Macaca fascicularis: one gene and its partner. The protein of the gene in region 1 interacts with the protein of each later gene in a biochemical or structural test. Links are inferred from orthologs where the notes say so. Each region holds a gene or a part of one and is shown in the gene's direction. Other genes may lie near its edges. The genes, in order: NMUR1 and NMU.

The links.
Region 2: the proteins of NMUR1 (region 1) and NMU form a complex in vitro, tested with the Homo sapiens proteins (2 studies listed by BioGRID). The link is inferred for Macaca fascicularis from reciprocal best matches to the Homo sapiens genes NMUR1 and NMU.

The regions. Positions count from the first base shown.
Region 1 is NC_088386.1:127,447,799-127,459,665, reverse strand, and holds the start of NMUR1 (neuromedin-U receptor 1), read left to right. Parts: upstream 1-6,485; 5' UTR 6,486-6,593; coding exon 6,594-6,596; intron 6,597-7,950; coding exon 7,951-8,845; intron 8,846-11,532; coding exon 11,533-11,867. UniProt on the Homo sapiens protein: Receptor for the neuromedin-U and neuromedin-S neuropeptides.
Region 2 is NC_088379.1:78,258,324-78,270,246, forward strand, and holds the start of NMU (neuromedin-U), read left to right. Parts: upstream 1-5,298; 5' UTR 5,299-5,428; coding exon 5,429-5,537; intron 5,538-5,628; exon of another isoform or gene 5,629-6,010; intron 6,011-11,307; coding exon 11,308-11,366; intron 11,367-11,923.

The DNA.
Region 1 (11,867 bases):
AGAACTTGGGTGTGTTACTTAACATTAAAGACTTGTTACTTCTTTGTGTTTAAAGCCAATTTGACATAAACTCTGTCTCAGGGTAGCTGGGAGGGGTAGCTGAAATTTCCTACTTCGGAACAGGCTGTGTAGAATCTGCCGTCGTGAGTTTTGTGAGTCAAAATAGAGAAAGAAGTGTTTGAACTTCCAGTTCCCAGATATGGTTCCCCAAATAGGCATGTGAATCGGCCCTTCAGAGTTTTAAAATCTGGATTTTCTTATCTTCTTCGCAGACACATATTCTCCCGGGCATCTTTTTGCAAAATGGTTTTGCTAACCTTGTGAGCCTGCCGGGACAAGCTGTCCCCCAACCCTGCGTCTCACAATGCCTTGTGACTGCATTGTGCCCACGCTAGCTGTGCCTTTGACGAGGGTGCCTTTGACGAGGGCTTGAATCCCTGAGTGGCAGGGTCATCTGTGGTTTGTTCGGGCTGCTTGGCACCTGGGCTGTCTGCCAGGGGCTGTGGATGACCCACTGGGTGGGTAATCTGCCCTCCTCCCCTCCAGAAGGCTACAAGACCCATGCTCACCCCACCCATGCAGCAAGAGTGCGGCAGCAGAACCTGATTTTGTGGCATCCTGTCTCTCACCCCGGGGCAGGGGGTCCAGGGCAAGTGCTTCAAAAGGCGGGGACATGGTCCCAGCCTGGGGCTAGTGTCCACGGGCTGCAGGGTCACACTGCCAACCCTTCTAGCTGCAGCCCCACCGTCTCCCTGCCCCTCTAGCCTTGTTAATTCTGTGAGCTGCCGGATGTTCTTCAGGAAATCCGGCCTAAATCAGCCAGAGCCAGCTCTGATTTTTGAAAACCAAGATCCTTACCTGTTGCAGTAGCTCACACCTGTAATCCCAGCACTTTGGGAGGCCGAGATGGGTGGATCACTTAAGGCCAGGAGTTCGAGACCAGCCTGGACAACATAGTGAAACCCCATCTCTACAAGAAATACAAAAATTAGGCTAGGCACGGTGGCTCACGCCTGTAATCCCAGCACTTTGGGAGGAAGAAGCAGGTGGATCACGAGGTCAGGAGATCGAGACCATCCTAACACAGTGAAACCCTGTCTCTACTAAAAATACAAAAAAGTAGCCGGGCGTGGTGGCAGGCGCCTGTAGTTCCAGCTACTCTGGAAGCTGAGGCAGGAGAATGGCGTGAACCCGGGAGGCGGAACTTGTAGTGAGCCAAGATCGAGCCACTGCACTCCAGCCTGAGCTAGTGAGACTCCGTCTCAGAAAAAAAAAAAAGAAATACAAAAATTAGCCAGGCATGATGGCACGTGCCTGCAGTTACAACTACTTGAGAAGCTGAGGTGGGAGGATTGATTGAGCCAGGCAGGTTGAGGCTGCAGTGAGCCGAGATCGCACCACTGCACTCCAGCCTGGGTGACAGACCGAGACCCTCTCTCAAAAAACAAAACAACAACAACAACAAAAAACCATTCAACAGGAACATCTTCTGGCACCCTGTCTTTCAGTCTTCACATACCTGGCCTTCTCTTAGCTTTAGGCCAACCGTGCCCGTGCTGGTGCCCGCTCCTCCATCACACACCCTCAGTGCACCTGCCTTTGGTCCCCTTTCCCTGTATCCAACAGTTGCTGTTGATACGCCCAGCACTGTTTACTTACCTCCTGATTCAGTCTTTATTCCTAAGAACACCCCAACCCTAGAAAGACACATTCCGTATGCATGCACCACTGTCATTTCATTTCCACTTTCCGGTTCTTTGATATTATTTCCCCCAATTTAGTGTTATTCCCTTTGTAATGCTGACCTTCCTCGCACTCTGAATATTTACTGCTTTAGTATCTATTGGCTGTGGCAGCAGCCTGCCTTGGGAACAGGCGATAATGGAGAAGGTTTGGAAAAGAGTAATTGAATTGACTAAAAGTGGCCTGCTTTTTAGTATCACGATGTGCCGGTGATTCTAATCATTGTCGGTGATAAACTATTACTCCCGCCAGGCGGACTGCCGCCTTAACACCTACTGCCTGGTAGGCCACTGCCTAGTGGACAGGAGGAACTAATGGTATTCATAGAACACTTCGAAACTCAACCAAAACAGAAACATTTAGTGGTAAAGGCGCATTATGTCTGCAACCGACTCTCATAGTCCCCCCCAAAATATAGGAATCCTTTGTACTATTCTTTCAACTTTCCTGTAGGTCTGAAATAATGCTAATATAAAAGGTTAAAAAGGTCAGGACCGGGCGCGGTGGTTCACACCTGTAATCCCAGCACTTTGGGAGGCCAAGGTGGATGCATGACCTGAGGTCAGGAGTTCAAAACCAGCCTGACCAACATAGTGAAACCATGTCTCTACCAAAAATACAAAATTAGCCGGGTGTGGTGGCATGCACCTGTAATCTCAACTACTTGGGAGGTTGAGGCAGGAGAATTGCTTAAACTGGAGAGGTGGAGGTTGCAGTGAGCTGAGATTGCACCATTGCACTCCAGCCTGGGCAACAAGAGTGAAATTCCGTCTGAGAAAAAAAAAAAAAAAAAAAAAAAAAGTTAAAAGGGAAAAGAAGACAAAACTACTAAATTAGCGCAAACTGCTGCAGACTAACAAGTTCCTGAGTCCTGATGCCGGTCAGCTGTTGCTGGGGGAGAAACTTTTGTTCTTAAACCTCCCTCTGATCGTGACTATGATATGAGCATTTATAAATGGGAAGACCCCAAGAGGAGCTTCTGTAACACACCCAAGTGTGGTTTGTTAGCTGGGAAGGCTGGTGGACTTGAGGGTGGCCTTTATTGCTTGGAGGAGTAGGTGCCACGAGCACCCTGTGGGCTCACAGTAAGATCTGGCCCCAGTCCAGGATGGCATGAGGGACACACAGGCCCTAGACATGAGAGACCCAGGCTTTTTCTGGCCTTCTCACTGTGTGACTTGAACATGTCCTCCCTTTGGCCACAAGCGGACGTTGGGGCCTGGTACACAGGCTGAGCCCCTGGGAGGAGGTGGCTGGTGCCCTGTGCCCAGCACCCTTCCTGAAGCCTGCGGGCTGGCTGTCTCTGGGAGAGCTCAGGAACAGGTCTCACAGCCCTCAGGGGGCAAGGGACTAGACAATCCCCAGTGGTCCCCTCGAGGAGCAAGAGAGGCAGGGGCGACACTCCCCTGAGGTCCCCTCCACTGCTGGTCCCCACCTGGCTGCAGGGCCCCGGCTGCCTGCACTGTGGCCGGACTCCCTGCAAGCCTGTATGTTCCTTTCCACTGGGACTCAGCTCTCCTGCCCGGGGTGCTGGGGACCTTGCTCTTCCAAACCCTGCTAAGGACAGCTCCCACCCCAGCCCTGCCTCCCAGCAGCTTTCTAGTGTCTTCCAGAGAATTCCAGGCTCTTCAACCCTGCACTGAGTGCTTAAACCCACATTATCCCTCTTAATCTTCATGGTATCCCTGAAGGACAGGGGCTATTTTTGTGTTTACAGGCAAGGAAGCTGAGGCCTGAAGTGCAAAGTGGCTTATCTGAGGCCACACTGGCAGAACATGGATTCTCACTCTGGCCTCACAGCCTCCAAAGCCTGTACTCACTGTGTTCTCTGCCTGGCTTGACCATCTCTCCCACCAGTTTCTATGAGCAGACTAGGGCTGGTGGCTCAGGGAGCATGGGTGGATGATCACACACAAGCCATGTGGCTCCCTGAGGTGCAATCCCAGCCCCCAAGTTGGGAACCCCATCACCTGAGGAGCCCAGACCTTCCTCCTCTCTCTCCTGGCCATGGCCAGGCTGACCCCGCAGAGCAGAGCTGGGTGGGGAGCTCTCTGACCTTGGGAGGTGCCCAGACGGGTACAGTGACTCCCCCTTGCTTCGGATATTTACTGTTCTGGTTCTCCATGTTTGCCCGATGACGCCCAGTGATGGGGGGTCCTGGGTGGTCCCCACTGCCCAGGCTGCAGAACAGTGCCTCCCTTGCGTCCAGAGCTATAGTGTCCCCAAGCTCATCTCATCCTCCCTGCCTCCCCTCTGTAGACAGTAAAGTGGGATGGGTGTGGGGAGTTTCTAGGGGAACCATGGGCTTGCCAGGAGCTGCTGGTCACCCCAAGGCTGAGAAGCTTCTGGTTTAAACCTGCCCTGGGTTTAAGCAGCCCCTCTTGGCTCTCAGGGAATCAGCAGGGCAAGGAGGGGATACGGAGCTACTCACATGCCTCTGGCCCCATGAGTCCTGCACATGCCTGGGACTTGGGTGGTATCTCAGCAGCTCCTGGAGGTCCTGGTGGCCCCCCCCAAGTGCATTTGCTGTTGTGTAGAGTTGGGTCCTTGACCCCCTCATCTGGGCAGACGCCCACCAGCCAAGCTTAGAAGATGGATGTGTACACCCAGAAAACCGGGGGACGCCACCTCAGGACGGAGCAGGAGCAGCAGGATGTCATACATTTCTGATGGGACACTACCGTGGTGGCCTTGAGCTCAGGCCCAGAGACCAGGACCCCTAGGGCCCTCTGCACAGTGGCAGAAGTGAGGGCCACAGCCATTGTGGCCACTGAGCCTCTCCTTTTTGGGGGCTGCTCTTTAGCGTTTGATGGCTGCTAGTGCTGTGCGAATGATGCAGCCTGCTGTAGGAAATTTCTGACTGGCAAGAGTCACTCTGCCTCTGCAAGGCTGGGTGGGTCCTTCCCCATCCCCTCCAGGGCCGTGTGCACCAAAGGGTCCACAGGGACTTTTGGACTGCTCAGAGTGTGTGCAGAATGGTATGTGTGTATGTGTGTGTGCGGTGGTATGTGCAGAGTGATGTGTGCATGCATGTGTGTGTACATGCATGTGCGTGTGTGTGCGTGTGTGTGCGTGTGTGTGTTCCAGTGAAAGGCTGGGGTCCAAATGCTCATCACTTGCTATGAGCAGCCTGTGATGCCACAGTGGGCTCTGTTGCTGAGTGATGTCATCCCTCCTTGCCCAGACCCGTTATTGAGAATTTCTCCTGGACTAGCTCATCCGGGGCTGAATAGTTAATTCTCAGGGCACCACAGAATCCTTTCTCCCAAGGCCCTGGGGACCATGTGCCCCTGCACTTCCCACAACCGTCCCCTGCCTGGGACTCTGTTTACATGTGGAGTTCGTGGGAAGGCCGGCCTGGTGCTGGCGCCTTGAGGGCCTAACTCCCATCCCCAAGCCCAGACAGTGACTTATGGAATTGGGCGGCAGTGGGGAGGAGAAGGGTGCAGGAAAGCTGGGGGAAGAAGGAGCCTCCCACCACTAAATGATGACAATCCTACCCCACATTTCTTGATTGCTGGCCATGTGCCAGCCTCTGTGCTGAATCTTGACGCTCAGTGTCTCATGTCATCCTCACAATAGTGGCGATGGTGGTTAGCGCATTCTACAGGAAGGGGAACTGAGGCACAGAGCTTGGGAGCTCACAGTGGCTCTCGGGGTCCTGCGGCTTTGTAGCCTCTCCTGGCGCTCCTCAAAGTGTGATTCCTGGGTATGGGCTCTCCAGAGAGCGTTGGTCAGACATGAGGATTTCTGGGCCTTGCCCAGACTAAGGAGACCAAACTCTGGGCAAAGGCCCCGGAACCAGCATTTTAGTCTGCGTGATCAGTCGTTTCTAGGGTCCCTAGAAGTTCCTGATGAAACAGCTTCCAGCTAAGGAGCTGACTGCAGGACTAGGGAGTGGGGGCAGGTGAGGCACTGGGATTTGCATGTGGGCAGTGTGGGGGAGCAGGAGGCTGTGGCTGGGCATCCTTAGCCTTCCCTAAATTCCCTCCATCCTTGTTATACCCCCACCCTTTGTACAGTGATGGGGGCAGAAGAACATTTGAACGGATAAGGGGGACAGTATTTGGGGCTGAGGACCATGGTGAGGAGAGGGTGGCCCAGGGAGGCAGGTGAGGAGTGGGGGGGTCCACCACCAGGCTAGACTTGGGTGTGCTCTTTTTCAGAAGGCAGCGGGGGGCCCCAAGGAAGGGTTTTGAGGCGTGATGGTCATTGGTGGCTGTGGGAGGATGGACTACGAGGAGAATGGGGGCTCCTGCCCAGTCCCGCAGGGCCGAGCCCCTGGACTTAGGGCCTGGAGGCCCCGAAGGGAGCGGCGGGTGAGAGGGGCTGCGGAGGCCGCAATCGTGGGCCCTGGGACGGAAGAAGAGGGCTGGAGCCTGGGAGGATGAACCCCACCGGCGCATGTCGACTTCAAGGGGCTAGTGGGCCGTCCCTGTCCTTGGAGGTGGGTCTGAATGTGGGGCAGGAGGAGCTGGAGGCTGCAGGGACACTGTGACACAGGGTTATGCTAAACTCAGCACGCTAGAGAGCGGGAACCGCATGTGAGCCCCAGGTCTCTCGGGCTCCTCCTCTGCAGCTCTCTAAGGCTCGGTTTTCTCATCTGTAAAATGGGTTCGCGAGATAACGCTGCTTGTGAAGACGTCGCCTGCGACAGCCGCGTACTTCCCGGTGCGGGAGGGGGCGCCCCCCGGGCTGCAGGGACTGCACTGCCCCCTGGCGGCGTTCCCGGTCGGACAGGCGGGGCGTAGTGGGGCTGGGACAGCCGTCAGTCAGTCCACCCGCTCCCGCGCCGCGTCTGTGTCAGTCGCTCAGAGGGTGGACGCCGGGGTCTCGCGGGCCGCAGGCCGATGGTAGGTGCGCAGGCGCCGGCGTGGGCTAGGGCGCGGCGGCTGGGCCGGGGCTCGGTGCGGGCAGGGTCGTCCTAGAGCGGGAAGAGTCCGAGGACTCCGTCGGGGCGACCCCCGCCCCCGCCACTGGGGAGCCTCGCAACTTCTCGGGTCATTTGTGTCTTCCGGCCAGGGGCGCCACGGGGCTGCGGGCTTGCGACCCTTCCTCGAGGACCGGGGCGCCTCCCTCGAGGACCAGGGTGCCTCCCTTGAACCCAGGCTGGCGCCTGCGCGTTCTCAACTGGTCCCCGAGGCTCTCGCGCTACTGTGCGGCAGGGGTGAGGACGGGCGGGAGGAACGGTGTGGGGCTCAATAGAGGAGAGGGAACCCCAGAACTGGCAGTGCCAAGGGCGTCAAATATGGAGACTGAACAGTTCAGGTGACAGAAAACAGAAAAAAGAATCAACTTGTGGATCAAGTTTAATTTGTAGTGTTTAGCCTTGACACTCCCTCACTTGACCCTCATAGTGACTGGGTCCCCGGAGCAAGGGGGTGATCCCCGTGCCCTTCCGTATGCCAGGCAGGCCCTGTGTTAATATCTTTCATGGATTAAACTCCCTGGATCCTCCTAATAGAGAAACAGCCTCAGAGAGGTTACCTCGCTGAACATCACACAGCTTGGAACTGGGGATGCTGGATTCGAATCCAGGCAGTTGCTTCTAGAGCGCTTGCTCTTGAAGACCCTGCAATACCAGGCATTGTGCCCATTTTACAGATGCCCAAACGAGTGCCTCATCTAGCATCATTGCTTGAAAGGGGAGACACCCAAGATGTGTCATTTATTCAAAAGTTCCAATAGATCCTGAAATTTAAAATCAAAACCCCACGTGTTTTTTTTTTTAATGTAGATTTTTACTTTTTGTTTGTTTGTTAGTTTTGAGACAGGGTATTTCTCTGTTGCCCAGGCTGGAGTCCAGCGGCACGATCTCGGCTCACTGCAACCTCTGTCTCCTGGGTTCAAACGATTCTCCCACCTCAGCCTCCCAAGTAGAATTACAGGCGTGTGCTACCACACCCGGCTAATTTTTGTATTGTTAGTAGAGGTGGGGTTTCACCATATTGGCCAGGCTGGTCTTGAACTCCTGACCTCAAGTGATCCACCCGCCTTGACCTCCCAAAGTATTGGGATTACAGGTGTGAGCCACCGCACCAAGCTTATTTTCACATCTCTGACTTGTGGATGGAAGAGTTTTTTCTCTCAGTGGTGCCTAAGATAATGGTCATCTTAGTGCTAATGTCACCTTTGGCTTGATGAGTTAAGACAGAGCCAGCATTCCCTGAATGACCTTTCTGGGCATTTCTCCCCTCTGTTCCACAGACTCCTCCTTGCCTCAATTGCTCTGTCCTCCCTGGAGACCTGTACCCAGGGGATGCAAGGAGCCCCATGGCTTGCAATGGCAGTGCGGCCAGGGGGCACTTTGACCCTGAGGACTTGAACCTGACCGATGAGGCACTGAGATTAAAGTACCTGGGGCCCCGGCAGACACAGCTGTTCATGCCCATCTGTGTCATGTACCTGCTGATCTTCACGGTGGGCGCTGTGGGCAATGGGCTGACCTGTCTGGTCATCCTGCGCCACAAGGCCATGCGCACGCCCACCAACTACTACCTCTTCAGCCTGGCCGTGTCAGACCTGCTGGTGCTGCTGGTGGGCCTGCCCCTGGAGCTCTATGAGATGTGGCACAACTACCCCTTCCTGCTGGGTGCTGGTGGCTGCTATTTCCGCACACTGCTGTTCGAGATGGTCTGCCTGGCCTCAGTGCTCAACGTCACTGCCCTGAGCGTGGAACGCTATGTGGCCGTGGTGCACCCGCTCCAGGCCAGGTCCATGGTGACACAGGCCCACGTGCGCCGAGTGCTTGGGGCTGTCTGGGGTCTTGCCATCCTCTGCTCCCTGCCCAACACCAGCCTGCACGGCATCCAGCAGCTGTATGTGCCCTGCCGGGGCCCAGTGCCAGACTCAGATCTTTGCACGCTGGTCCGCCCACGGGCCCTCTACAACCTGGCGGTGCAGATCACTGCGCTGCTCTTCTTCTGCCTGCCCATGGCTGTCATCAGCGTGCTCTACCTGCTCATTGGGCTGCGACTGCGGCGGGAGAGGCTACTGCTCATGCAGGAGGCTAAGGGCAGGGGCTCTGCAGCAGCCATGTCCAGAGACACCTGCAGGCTCCAGCGGCGCGATCGGGGCCGGAGACAAGTGACCAAGATGCTGTGTAAGTGTCACGGCTGGGAAGAGGGGCTGAGCCAGGTACTGGGGCTCCTGGGGTCTGGGAGAAGGGGCTGAGTGTCTGGGTTTACAGGGGGCGAGGAACTCCTCTAGTCTCGTGTGTGTGTGCGTGTGCGTGTGTACATGTGTGCATGTGTCTGAGTTGCACTCTTGTGTACTCTTTTAGATTACCCCACTAGAATCTTACACCAAAAATACCTATTAATGGCTAAATGTAAGACTGACTGTGTAATTTATGGAGTCCAGTGCAAAATGAAAATTCAAGGTCCCTTTTTCAAAAATGAGTAAGACAGCAACAATACAGCATTAAACCAAGCCCAGGACCCTGCTAAGCTTGGGGCCCTGACTCTGGAACCAAAACATAGAAAGGGCAGGGCATGTGATTGGGCTCCAGGATGACAGAAAATGGGATCTGGACCCTCCAGGTCTCAGGTCTCTCATCGTCGTCTTCTTTTTTTTTTTGAGACAGGGTCTTGCTCTGTCACCCAGGCAGTACAGTGGTGTGACCACGGCTCACTGCAGCCTCAACCTCCCAGGCTCAAGCGATCCTTCTACCTCACTCAGCCTAAGTAGCTGGGGCTACAGGCATGTGCCACCATGCCCAGCTAATTTTTTCATTTTTGTAGAGACAGGGTCTCGCTATGTTGCCAAAGTGGGTCTTGAACTCCTGGGCTCAAGTGATCCTCCCACCTCAGCCTCCCAAAGTGCTGGGATTACAGGCATAAGCCATTGCGCCCGGCTCTTCTTGGTTATTAACGTGTCTTGGCCTTGTTCTTCTCGGCAGCAGCCTGCGAGGCATGGCCACCGGCACGTCGTCGTCTTTCCTGAGGAACTGCCCTCTTCCCTTAGAGATGAGTGAAAAGTCCCAAGAAGGATTCTGATGGGTGGGGCCTAGGTCATGCCCCACCTCCTGCGCCAGAGTGGCAGGATGCCAAGGTGCACAGCCCCCAGTGGAACTACATAGTGGGATCTGGGGGAGCAAAGTCCCCCAAAGAAGGGGAGGAGGGTGTTGGAGAGGCCAGGTGTCGAATTTCCCCCATGCCATGTCTGCCGTTCCCTGGGAACCACAGGAGTGACCATTTATCTAAGGAGCCCCAGCCCGAGGCGAGTCTGTAAAGGCCACGCTCAAGGCACAGGGGATCAGGCTGGAGATGTGCAGATTAGGGGAGGCCAATGTACTGGGATGAGGCTCTGGATCTCTGTGGCCTGGACCTGGCTCTTTTTCAAAAGCTGTGGCCCTGGGGAAGCAAGGCAGACCGATGCTAAGCCGATCAAAGACCCGCCCCATCCACCTACCTGCATCCCAGCTCAGCCCCACCTCAGCAGAGCCTGAATCAGGCCAGTGGGGTGAGCCAGGTCAGCAGAGGGCCACAGAGACTTTGGACAGAGCCAGCTAACTGGGGGCCGCCCCATCCCCAGAGTGACTCGCTCCTCTCGCCCCTCAGGCACCGTCCCAGAGCCCAGTCTTCGTGCAGCTCCTGAGGTGGGGCTGACCCCAGAGCTGTGTGCATGCCTCCCAGCTCTGCACTGTGGAACCGTGCTCAGCACCGGCTGCCCGCTGCCGCCCTGCCTCCTGCCTGCTACCCCGTCCCCTCCCTGAAAACATGGGTGGGCAGAGTCTGCAGTAGGTGCTCAGCTTGGATGGCTCACCCCTGGAAGGTGGGCTTCCTGCTTGCTGGCCTTCTCTCTTCCTTCCCTCCCTCCCTTGTCCACTGTCCAGTGGCCCTCTGTGCACCAGGCCAGGTGCCAGGGAGGTTGTGAGCAACGTCCTTTTTGAAATCTGGAATTATGAGGAAAACCATGCTAGGGTATGATGGGGAAGACACTGCCCAGGAAAGCTAGTGAGTTGCAGCAGCAAACCCAAGAAACAAGAAACAAAAATCATGGCTGGCCCTGTGGCAGAAACCCAAGGAAGGGCATAGTTGGGTAAGAACAGGCAGCAGGGATTTGGGGAGAAAGAGTGAAGGTTTGGCCAAATGGTCCTACCTTTTGTTAGGGAGGGGGTGGGCAAGGGCCTGGCAAGTAAGAGGGGGGCAGGTTAGTGCAGGGCGAGACATTCAGATGGGCCTTGGGGAGCTGGGGGCTGGAGTTGAAAAGGCCAGGGGCCAAGGCAGGCAGTGTGTATGTGTGTGCATGTGTGTGTCTGTGTGTGCATATGTGTGTGCATGCATGTGTGTGTGTCTGTGTGTGCATGCATGTGTGTGTCTCATGTGTCTCACTCTCCCTGGTCCCATGACCTCCGGTCTGCTGCTCTCTGAGCACCCATTCTTCTTCTTTTCTGTACTTATGCATCAGCAAGCACGGTCCCCAAGTGGGCATCCAGAGTGGCCCTAGCCCCACAGCCTGTAGCACGCCAGTAGCTCACCCAATTTCATACTCCAGGGTGAGAATCTGATTGGGCCGGCTGGGCTCAGGTGTCCATGCCTGGTCCAGTCGGCTGTGGCCAGAGGCAGGGACATGCCCCACTGCCTATAGTCAGTGACTGTGGTGAAGGCAGCCTCTCTGAGAGGCATGGCCAGAACAGGCAAATTTCCAGAAACTTCCACCTGGGTGATAGGTGAGGGTGGCCTGTGGGATAGGAGAGGATGTGAGAATGGGTGACCCAAACTGAAGTCTGGGAAGGCAGCTGAGGGGCTCCGGTGGACACTCTGCCTCCCTTGTCTGTCCCTGCAGTTGTCCTGGTTGTGGTGTTTGGCATCTGCTGGGCCCCGTTCCACACCGACCGCGTCATGTGGAGCATCGTGTCACAGTGGACAGACGGCCTGCACCTGGCCTTTCAGCATGTGCATGTCATCTCCGGCATCTTCTTCTACCTCGGCTCGGCGGCCAACCCCGTGCTCTACAGCCTCATGTCCAGCCGCTTCCGAGAGACATTCCAGGAGGCCCTGTGCCTCGGGGCCCACTGCCACCGCCTCAGACCCCGCCACAGCTCCCACAGCCTCAGCAGGGTGACCACAGGCAGCACCCTGTGTGACGTAGGCTCCCCAGGCAGCAGGGTCCACCCCCTG
Region 2 (11,923 bases), on another chromosome or scaffold:
AGGTGGTCTTAGAGATGATAAAACAGAACACAGAATTTTCAGAATTTTGAGAGTCTATACATGGCTGACACTTGAATGCTCATTAAATGGGTGAATACACATCCTGTAAAGCATTTATTCGTAGCAGGTTATTATTATTTTGCAGATAGTATCCACTGTCCATTTTTTAGATAATGATGCTATTCTTAGTTAAGAATCATATCAAAGTGAGTGTAAAGACCAATGCTCTCCACTTGGCTTTTATAAAGTATTTTCTGCCCTGAAAAAATTAAAACTAGGAATTACAGCAGAGTCACTGATGCAGACATGTCCTAGGTGAATGCCTTCGTGAAGTGGGAGAGGAGGATTTCAAGTTACTAAGAACATCTAGGACTATGTAATAAAATTTGGATATTTCATGCCAAAAATAGACAAATTTTGCTTGTGCTAAGATGCAAAGACTGCCACCATCCGATCCAACATATTATAATAGGTGATCTAGACTTCAATCTTTTTTCAAAGTTGAAATATTATTCACATGATAAAATTCATCCTTTTAGAGTGTATAATTCAATGGTTTCTAGTCTATTCACAAGGCTGTGCAACTGTTACTACTAATTCCAGAACATCTTCATCACCCCAAAAGGAAACCATTACACTTAGAAGCAGTCACTCTCACCAATCCCTGAAAACCACTAATCTATTTTCTGTCTCCATGGAGTTGCTTATTCTAGACATTACACGTAAATGGAATCATACAATATGTGGCCTTTTGTGTCTGGCTTCTTTTGCTTGGGATAAGTGTTTTCAAGTTTCACACAGGTTGCAGCATATATCAGTACTTTGTTCCTTTTGGCCATGGCATGAGCTTCTGTAGTATCCTCTTACCTGGTCTCCCTGCTTCTATTCAGGTCCCCCAGAGCCTGATCCTCACTGAAGCTGGAGTGATCTTTTTCAAATATAATTCAGATCATCTCACTCCTGTTCTTTAAATCCCCCAAAGGCTTCCCATTTTACTTAGAGAAAAATCTGAACTCATTATGGCCTCTAAGACTCATCAATGATCAAGACCCTACCTTGCCTACTCACTCCGTGCCAGCTACACTGGCTTCCTTCTGCTCTCTAAACCTTTGAGACTTGTTTCTGCCTCAGGACCTTTGCACTTGATGGCCCCTCTGTCTGGGGTTCCTTTTTCCCAGTTCTTCCCATAACTCATTCCTTCTCATCATTCAGGCCTCCCATAACCCCTCCTCAGAGACGCATGCCTAGATGATCCTGGCTCAAGTATCTTTCCCCCAACTGCCAGCCACCTTCTATTATTTCATTACCCCGGCTTAATTTCTTTTATAGCATTTGCTACTAGCTGAAATTGCTAATTTTAAAATTTACTTTCTTATTATCTGACTCTCTTGAAAATCTGCCAACTCCAAGGCAGAGACATCACTGCTATATCCCAAGCTCCCAGAATGGAGCCCAGTAGGTGTTCGATTAATATTTGAAGGACTTCATGATTTCACCTTGCCTAGAACGCTTACATCTTCCAGATCTTGCCTCTACTCTTAGTTCCTGAAGCTGGATATTTTTGCTTATTACTAGACTTCCCTATTGCCAACTGACTGTATATGTGTATATATGTATGTATATATGTATTCATTCATTCATTCATTCATCCACTCATAGAGACACAGTTTCACTCTATTTCCCAGGCTGGAGTGCAGTGGCACAATCAGAGCTCACTGCAACCTTAAATTCCTGGGCTCAAGCAATCCACCTGCCTCAGCCTCCTGAGTAGCTAGAACTACAGGTGCATGCCATTGCATCCAACTAAATTTTCTTTTTATTTTTTGTAGAGATGACGTTTCATTATGTTGCCCTGGCCAGTCTCAGACTCCTGGCCACAAGTGATCCTCCTACCTTAGCCTCCCAAAGCTCTAGGATTACAGGCATGAAATACCACTAAGCTGCCTGACTGGTTTTTATCTATTGCTGACTCTCTCTTTCTCCTGATATCCCACTCTCCTCCCCTTCTAATCCTTTCCATGACAACTTTTCTAGACATCTCTATCACAAGCTAGTAGGTCTTGCTAATCTGCAGGCCCTTGACCAATTGAACTTTCATTGTTACAGATTGTCAGCAGAAAGCAAAGTCCAGTTGCCAATTTGTGGTGAAGAATGCAAGAGATAATAGGTGAGAGGAATCAGCATGGCACTAAGAATCAAACTTTCAATCTGATACAGAATAAATGGAAATGCTCTCAAAGCTCGTATATATGGAATACAAGCTCAAATGAATGTGAATTTAGAAGTACAAATTGGAATGTCTGTAACTAAATTATCAAGGGACCACTGCAGTGATCTGGGATTTCACTTCTTTGCAATGCTTGGACAAAGGGGTACCTGTAGAATCAGCTTCCATTTAGCCATCTGTTCCCAGAGGAATCCAGTGCCTATCGGCCCCCACTTTTCTACTCCCCTATCTATCTTCTGTTATCATTCAAGTCACATAATGGCATGACCTTCAAGCCTGCAAGTCTTTTCCTGAACATTTCTTCAAAAATAACAACTCATATTAAAAATAATGGAAGAAAAGCCATAAATAGGGAGAAAATATTTGCCACATATTTAATCAAACAAATGTTCCCAAATACATAAAGCATTGCTATAATGATTAAGAAAAAAGTTAACAACCCAATGGGGGAAAATGGGCGAAATAAATTTTCACTGAGATATTTCACAGAAGAGGAAGCAATAATGGCCAATAATTTGTGGAAAATTACTCAACCTCTTTTAGTAAACTGGGATTCCAAATTAAGTCCACAATAAAAAGTCACACTAGCCAGGCTCAGCAGCTTATATCTATAGTCCCAACACTTTGGGAGGCTGAGGCAGGGGGATTACCTGAGGTCAAGCATTCAAAGACCAGCCTGGCCAATGTGGTGAAACTTCATCTTTACTAAAAATACAAAAATTAGCCGGGTGTGGTGGTGCACACCTGTAGTCCCAACTAGGAGACTGAGACACGAGGATCCCTTGAACTGGGAGGGAGAGGTTGGAGTGAGCCAAGATCGTGCCACTGCACTCCAGCCTGGGTAACAGAGTGAGACTCCATCTCAAAAAACAAGAAGGAAAAAAAAAAAAAAGGAAAGAAGTCACACTCACCATATTGACAAAGGTTTCTGCATGAATGAATAGCCATGGAAACGTCATTCATGGTTGGTGGGAATGTAAATTGGTATAACACTTTGGAAAACAGTGTAAAACAGAGATTAGCTAGGTCATCCCCTATGACCTAATGACTCCACTCCTGGGAACATTCCTCAGAAAACTCTTGCACGTGTACACTAGGGGGCATGTACAAGAACGTTCTAAGCAGGCTGGTTCATGCAAGGAAAAAAAAAAAAAAACTTTAATACACAAGTTGTTTATTTTGCTGACTTGTTGGGGATATAAAAAACATTAAGCCCACTGTTTCAGGCTTCTCTGCTCTGGCTGACATTTCACGCTCACACTGGCTGCTGGGACTGGTGATCTTTCAGTGCACCTCTGGGAGACACCAGGAAGAATGTCATAGGGAAGCAGAGCCATGTTCACCTGCTTGCATCCGTAGGTCATTTACATCCTTTGTGCTCTTTTTTTTCTTTTTTTACTACTTTGGGAATAAATCAAAGTACAAGAATCTTGAATCAAATATTTTCTCACCCATCCCTGAACTTGGACCAGACCCTATAATCCAGCCTTTCTTACACGCTTCCTGTGTATAAAGAATTTAAAGAAGGTGGCCATTATTTTTTTACCTAATCTGTCAGGGTTTTACTCCTGCCTCTCTTCGTATTTCTGACAGAGCACTATCCCAATCTGCCTTGTAATTCAGCTATTTGAGTAAGGGTTTAGGGTCCTTTACCAAGTTATAACTTCCTTAGGAGAGAAAGATCCTACTGTCACTAAATCTTGTATCCCCAAAGGTCAGGTCTTGCTTACAGTAGGTTGAGCTGTGTGTGCCTAATACATTAAAACTCTGTATTTAGGGAGAAGTATCTTGGTGGAGTAGAATAGCCAGTGGCTGCCTCACGTGCTGACAGCCCTGAGCAGATTGTTTAATCCCTCTTGGCATCATAAATGAGAATTTCAGTACTTCTACATCCCAGAGATGCCATGAATATTAAATAAAATAACACGAGAAAATGCCTGACGCAAAAGTGCCCCTTCAGAAATGTTAATGTACTTCCTGCCCTTTCCTCGGCGTTCCTCGCCTTTCAAAGGGAGGTCAAATAAGACCGGTTTTCACACACTGGGACCTATGGGGGGGGGGTGGGGTGCGGGGACAGGGGGAGCATCAGGAAAAATAGCTAATGCATTCTGGGCTTAATTCCTAGGTGATAGGTTGATAGGTACAGCAAACCACTATGGAACACGTTTAGCTATGGGACAAACCGGCACATCCTGCGCATGTACCCCGGAACTTGAAATAATAATAATAAAGACGAGGTTTCCCTCTTTCTGTAGAAGGAAATTAGGACTGTATTAGCTGGTGTCCTGGAAGAGGCTGCTTCCTGAACGTTTCCAATCAAGGAAAGTATAGAGATGGAAAGAGGGAGTCAGGTCACGGTAGAAATCAGGATGCAATAGCAGCAGAAATGCATAGAAAAAGGAGTTTCCTTAGGCTTGGAAATCCGTAGGATAACCAGCGCTCCAGAGCTGTTAGAAATGTGTGTGGTCAAGCCCCAGCAGTCCTTTCTTCTTTATCTTTTATTAACAGGCAACTGCATTTCCCTAAGGGGTCTGTGATTTTGCAGGAATTTGGGGGAGGGTAGATAGCATCAACATCACCGTTGAACCAGCACTGCCCTGATATGCACCAGGCATTGAGCTTGGACCTGGGGATAAACCGGGGAACAAAACAGAGGCGCTTCCACAGAGGTGCGTACTAGGGGCTGCCGGAGCTCTAGCAGAGGTGAAGGAGAAAGCGCGTCCCACGCAGACCCAGGAAACCAGACAGCGTCGCCACTACCAAGTTTAAAAACTCAGACGGCCTGGTTTGCCATCTCCATTGTGTTCCCACTCCAGTCCTTCCAAAGGTGTGAATGGTGCATTATTTAAAGTCCATTCTCTTTATCCCAGAGCGAAAATGCGTAGTACTTGGGTCAGAAACTCAGGCCAGAGGGCTCGGGTCCCCCTGCAGGGTGGGGCGCGGGCAGGCAGTGGGGCGGGTGACGCGGGGTAGGCCGGGGGTGGCAGGCGGCGAGGTGACGTGCGGCGGGGACTGCGCAGCCCAGCCCACGTGTGCGCGAGATTTAAAAGTTGTCGGCGCGTCGGGCGCTCAGTTCTGTGTGTGGGCCCCGCGAGCGGCGCTCCAGGGCCGCTGGAGGCACTGCCAGGGCACCAGGTGGAGCACCAGCTCGGCGTGGCGCAGCGCAGGGTCCCTAGCAGCGAGCCTCCCGCAGCCGCCGAGATGCTGCGAACAGCGAGCTGCCCCCCAAGGTCGCCCCCCGGACAGGGGGCCGCGGCGTCCACGCTCCTGCTGCTGCTGCTGCTCGCCTGCTGCGCGGGCGCCTGCAGAGGTAAGACGGCCCCGCACCCGGCCGCCGCCACACCATGCGCGCCTCTCTCTGGCTCCACTCACCACTCTCTCCCGCCCTTTCTTTCACCTTCACTTGGTTTCTGGGACTTCTCTTGGCTTCTCTGGTGCCGCGGGATTTCCCGCCTCCCAGGCACAGATCGCCCCACTAGAGCAACTAGCAACATAGGAGCAAGGGGCCCGGCCGGGGCCGAAATCCCCAGGCCCCGCGCGTTGATGCCCAGCGGAGACCCTGCGCTGGGCCGACTGCGATAGGTGGAGACTGGTAGGGCTCCCTCATCCTCGGGATTTCCAGCCCCGCTGGCCCGTGGAAACGGGTATTAAAATAGTGAACGTTAAAATGCCTTCCCTTTGATTGCAATTATTGAAGGGATTGATGGTCGAAGCAAAACAAGAGTGAGCCTGATACTTCGTCCGCTGAGGCAAGGTAAACTTGGCGAGTGCTCAGCCTGTTTGGTGAGTGAGCTCGTGTTATGTTGACATAAACCTGAGCGGTACAACGGGCCCCACGCGCTAACCGCTTAGAAGGGGGAAGGAGTGGGCTTTGTGTTTTATCGGTTTTCAGGCACTAGATCAGGAAAAGGAATAGAGAACTTCTCATCACACAAAGTTGAAGAGGCAAATGTGCAAGCCAGGCTTTCAGGCAGTGCGACAGCTACAGCAAGTGATGGCAGATGTGATTTGATAACAATAGGGACTTCCTGAGCTTGGCTTAGAGGAAAGAAATAGGAAACGCAAGGTCAGGGAAGGAGATCGGAAGCTTTGGAGACATAGCCGAGCAGAATGCAAACGTTCTGGAGAGATTTGCATGGAGAGATCATTTTCTGGGTTCTCCAAGGGTTACAGCTTACGTTTGCAGGTGGCTTATGGGCACCATTATTCATCCCCAAGTCAGGGGTCCCTCCATTGTCAACCACTGCCTGGCTACATCCATAAATTTTCTAGCTTGGCAGGAGGTTCTCTTAGCTTCCCTCTGCTCTCCAGTCAGTGAGGTAAAAGTGGCAGACTGTTGTGTCATTGTTCAGAACGTTGGGTACTTAAAATCACAACTGCAGAGCCTGTAGTCCAGCCCTCAATTAGAGATGGGGAAATAGAGACCGCTATGCTTTTCCTAATCTATTTATTTTTACTGTTCTCCTCTCATTGTTTTGATTTTGTCCTTTCCTGAGGCATTGGAGGGGTGCGTGTGTGTGTGTGTGTGTGTGTGTGTGTGTGTGTGTGTGTGAGAGAGAGAGAGAGAGAGAGAGAGAGAGAGAGAGAGAGACTCCCCTACTTGAAAAGCAAGATAATTTGGCTTTGAAATCCAGGCAGTCAGAAGCTAGCAAACCCAAACGTTCTCCACATAGCCAGTAGTGATACATTACTTTCTCCCAAGGTAAATGTTCATCTTTTAGGATTTTAAATATATTATTGGTAACTTTGGATGGTAATCTTTATCTGCCTTCTTAAGGATGCAGATAAGCATAGTTTGAAAAGTGACTTTGCTATGTAAAGAAAATGGATTTCTATGCATTTGCATGCTATATGCTTGCAGTGAATTTGGCATCAGTGAATTTTGCATGCAGAGAAATTTGCATCAGAGATAACTGCCTTGGGATGGGTTGGAGAATTTCAGACTGCTGGTGATTGAACAGTATAGAAAGCAGCAGCTGGTTCCTAAAAGAGATGAGTCTTGGTTTTTATTTCCAAAAGAGCATATCTGCTGACATACCAATCGTCTCGTAGATAACCCCAATATTTTTCAAGCAAAAGAATGAGATACTTCCTTTACTACCCAGAAGCCCCCTAGATTGCCCTTTTGCATCTTCATTCCCCTTCAGACCTGCTATGAATACTAAAAAGTGAATTGTATCTCTTTAAAAATGTGGTAGGATGGGGAGAGGGTGAATAGCCATGTGATCTGTCCGAGTCCTGAGTCCCTAAAGATGGCACCGAGGGGGACGTGACATACATAAGCAAAACCCAGAGATTATCTACCATGGTCAATCATCATGCAAGATGCAACTGGATGCCTCAAAAAACAACACAACAAATGTTGCAATGCTAGAGGAAAATAAAAGTGTCATTAAATGCAGCATCCTTGGAAAAAAAAAGATAAAGGGTCAGCCACAGATTCAGTGGATGGAAACAATTTACTATTCAGAGCACACTAGTAAAATAAAGAAGGAAAATAAACACACTAGTAAAATAAAAAAAGATAAAGGGTCATGCGAAGATAAAGGGTCAGCCACAGATTCAGTGGATGGAAACAATTTACTATTCAGAGCACACTAGTAAAATAAAGAAGGAAACTTATATAAGAGGAACACATTTTGGATATCTGCAACAAACTGTTACTTGATTTTGCCTGTGACAATAAGTTATCAAATGGTCAAGACTAAGTTAAGGAGTGTCTTTTCCTGCCCAGGCCTCTTGCTCATAGAATAATTCTTAACGTTCACTTGACAGTAAAGATTTCTCACTTCCCAAACCCACAGTGAAGTACATACTCGCCATGAGAAAAGAAAATTGGCACTACTTTTAGAATAATCAGGTCTGTCTTTCTTATACATAATGTATTTACGGATGTACAAGTTTTTATTTTCAGCAGAGTATACTGTATAATACTGAAGATTTCACTTTGCTAAATAGTAATGAAGTATAAATATCTTGAAGTTTCTCACTGAAACTTATCAAAAACAGTACAGTTATGATACAGGCACTGTCTCTGAAAACACGGAAAGTGATCTAAGTACAGTATTGCTCTTTGACAGTGTGAAGTCCATATCCAGAATGAAAATCACATTGACTCTAATTAACACATAGACAAAGGAAAGAATAACTCCCCCTTACGTTTGGGTTCAGTCATAGGATATTAGTCGTCAGTCTTTTTCTTTTCGTGAGACGGAGTCTCGCTCTGTCGCCCAGGCTGGAGTGCAGTGGCCTCATCTGGGCTCACTGCAAGCTCCGCCTCTTGGGTTCACCCCATTCTCCAGCCTCAGCCTCCCGAATAGCTGTAACTACAGGTGCCTGCCACCATGCCCGGCTAATTTTCTTGTATTTTTAGTGGAGATGGGGTTTCATCGTGTTAGCCAGGATGGTCTTGATCTTCGGACCTCATGATCCGCCCGTCTCGTCCTCCCAAAGTGTTGGGATTACAGGCGTGAACCACTGTGCCTGGCCAGGATATTAGTCGTTTTCTACAAATCATAGAATTTTAAAAAAATTTTTGTCTCTTCTTATCTTTTTTTTTTAACCATGAAACTGTGTTTACATGTTTTTAGAAGGGCCACAAAATGTCCTTTTTCTATTTTATGGAAGTGCCTGGGGCTAAGTTAGGCATAGTGGCCTTTCTAAGTGGCCCATGCGAGCTTGGGAATTGGAAGGAAGCAAACTCTCCATGGTCCTGATGAGGCGGTGTGTCTGAACACAGTGAAGTTGAGGTGGAAGCTTCCACTTTTACTGGGGGCCAGGGATGGTCAAAAGTATAAGAATAAAAAATAGCATTATTTAAACAGGAATGCTCTGTCAAACAGAATCTCATTAAGTGAGATCACCAGGTGTTTTATATGGAAATTTGAGAAGCACAGCTTTATCCCTTCCTGAAAACAATGAGCTCCGGGTAGGATCTACCAGACAACTGTGACTTTGGGATATATGTTTATGGTAGGGTGAGAAATAGATATTTGAGAAGTGTGTAAGATTGTTTACCCACATTCAATAGTTGTCCCATGAGAGGGGACTCTGTCAGGTTCTGAAATAAAGCCACTCTTTTATGGACTGCATGACCTCTCTAAGTTGTTTCTAATGCTTAGTGCCACAGAAAATGTAGTTGATTACTGTCATTATTATTGCTGTTATCAGAACTTAAATGAAATAACAGTAAAAACTTGTATGAATTCAAGGCAAGAGTTGCCTAAAACATGATAGAATTAGGAAAAAAAAATCTGTCAGGATATGCAATCAACCAGACTGATTTTCTGAGTTTTTAGTGCACCTGTCATCCAAGAAACATACACTATACCCAATATGTAGTCTTTTATCCCCCAGCCTCCTCCTAGCCTCCCACCTCAGAGTCCCCAAAGTCCATTACATCACTCTATGTCTTATGTCCTCATAGCTTAGCTCCCACTTATAAGTGATAACATATGGTATTTAGTTTCCCATTCACTTCAAATAATGGCCTCCAGCTCCATCCAAGTTGCTGCAAAAGACATTACTTGGTTCCTTTTTATGGCTGAGAGATAGTCCATGGTGTATATATACACCACATTTTCTTTATCCACTTGTTGGTCAATAAGAACATAGGTTGTTTCCATATCTTTGCAGTTGCAAATTTTGCTGCTATAAACATGTGTGCGCATGTGTCTTTTTCATATAATGACTTCTTTTCCTTTGGATGGATACCTTGGATGGATACCAGTAGTGGGATTGCTGGATCAACCCATAGATCTACTTTTGGTTCTTTAAGGAATTTCCATACTGTTTTCCATAGTGGTTGTACTAGTTTACATTCCCACCAGTAGTGTAAAAGTGTACCCTTTTTACACATCCATGCCAACATCTATTGTTTTATGACTTTTTAATTATGGCTGTTCTTGCAGGAGTAAGGTATTAACTTGTGGTTTTAATTTGCATTTCCCTGATGATTAGTGATGCTGAGCATTTTTTTTCATATGTTTGCTGGCTCTTTGTATATCTTCTTTTGAGAAATGTCTATTCATGTTCTTTGCCAACTTTTTGATGGGATTGTTTTTTTCTTGCTGATTTGAGTTCCTCGTAGATTCTGGATACTAGTCCTTTGTTGGATGCATAGTTTGCATATATTTTCTCCTACTCTGTGGGTTCTCTGTTTACTCTGCTGATTATTTCTTTTGCTGTGCAGAAGCTTTTTAGTTTAATTAGGTCCCATTTATTTATTTTAGTTTTTGTTGCTTTTGCTTTTGGGGTTTTAGTCACAAATTCTTCGCCTAAGCCAATGTCCAAAAGCGTTTTTCCAATGGACCTTCTAGAATTTTTATTGTCTCAAGTCTTATATTTAAGTCCTTGATATGTCTCAAGTTGATTTTTAAGGTGAGAGATAAGGATCCACTTTCATTCTTCTGTATGTGGCTTGTCAGTTTTCCTAGCACCATTTATTGAATAAGGGTGTACTTTCTCCAATTTATGTTTTTGTATACTTTATTGAAGAATAGTTGGTTTTAAGTATTTGGCTTTATTTCTTTGTTCTCTATTCTTTTCCATTGGTCTAAATGCCTATTTTTATACCAGTACCATACAGTTTTGGTAACTATAGCCTTATAGTGTAATTTGAAGTCCAGTAATGTGATGCCTCCAGATGCATTCTTTTTGCTTAGTATTGCTTTGGCTATGTGGGCTCTTTTTGGTTTTATTTTAGGATTGTTTTTTCTAGTTCTGTAAAAAATGATGTTGATATTTTGATGGGAATTGCATTGAATCTGTAGATTGCTTTGGGCAGTATGATCATTTTCACAATATTCAGTCTTCCAATTAATGAGCATGAGGTGTGTTTCTATTTGTCTGTAGACATAAGTAATTCATTCTTGAGAGTAATATCTTTGTAATGTTATTAAGGTTTGTTTAGTAATTATGTCTCCTTGTACTAAATCTAATGCTGAAATATTTAGTTGAAATAGGTGGGTGATAATGTACAGTGAAAAATGAAGAAAGTGTCCAAGAAAGAATTATATATGGATATTTAATTTTAGAAGGAATGCTATAAAATTAACCTGTGGCTATAACTTTATTTTTAGGTGCTCCAATATCACCTCAAGGATTACAGCCTGCACAACAGCTACAGTTGTGGAATGAGGTAAGGAACTATCATCACACAAATTTGTAGAAACTTTACCCTTCTTTGAAATTATCATGTTAAAATCTATAATTGAGCTTTGGGAGAACTATGATTTTACCAATAATCTCATAATAAAACCCAGAATTACTATTTTTATTAAATAAAAGAGAAGGAAAGAAGAAAAGAAACAAAAATTTTGTAAATGGTTAACAGGGCAGAAACAAATGCCAATAACAGGATAAAATAGAATAATACAAGAACAGAGTAATTACAGTAAATGTGTATGTACTTAAAAGACAGAGGTTCTAAGATTGGATTTAAAAAATAGATCCAGATATATATTGTCTATCAGTATCACACTTAAAACAGAAAACAAAAAAAGACTAAGTATAAAAGGATGGACAATGATGTAGCAAGCAAATACAAACTGAAAGAGAATATATCTGATCAAATAGAATTCAAATAAATAAACCGTCATAACAGACAAATAAGGATCTTATATGTTAATAAAAGAAAACCAGAACAAGAAAATATAGACATCATTAATATAAACTAATAATGCAACCTTAAAATTT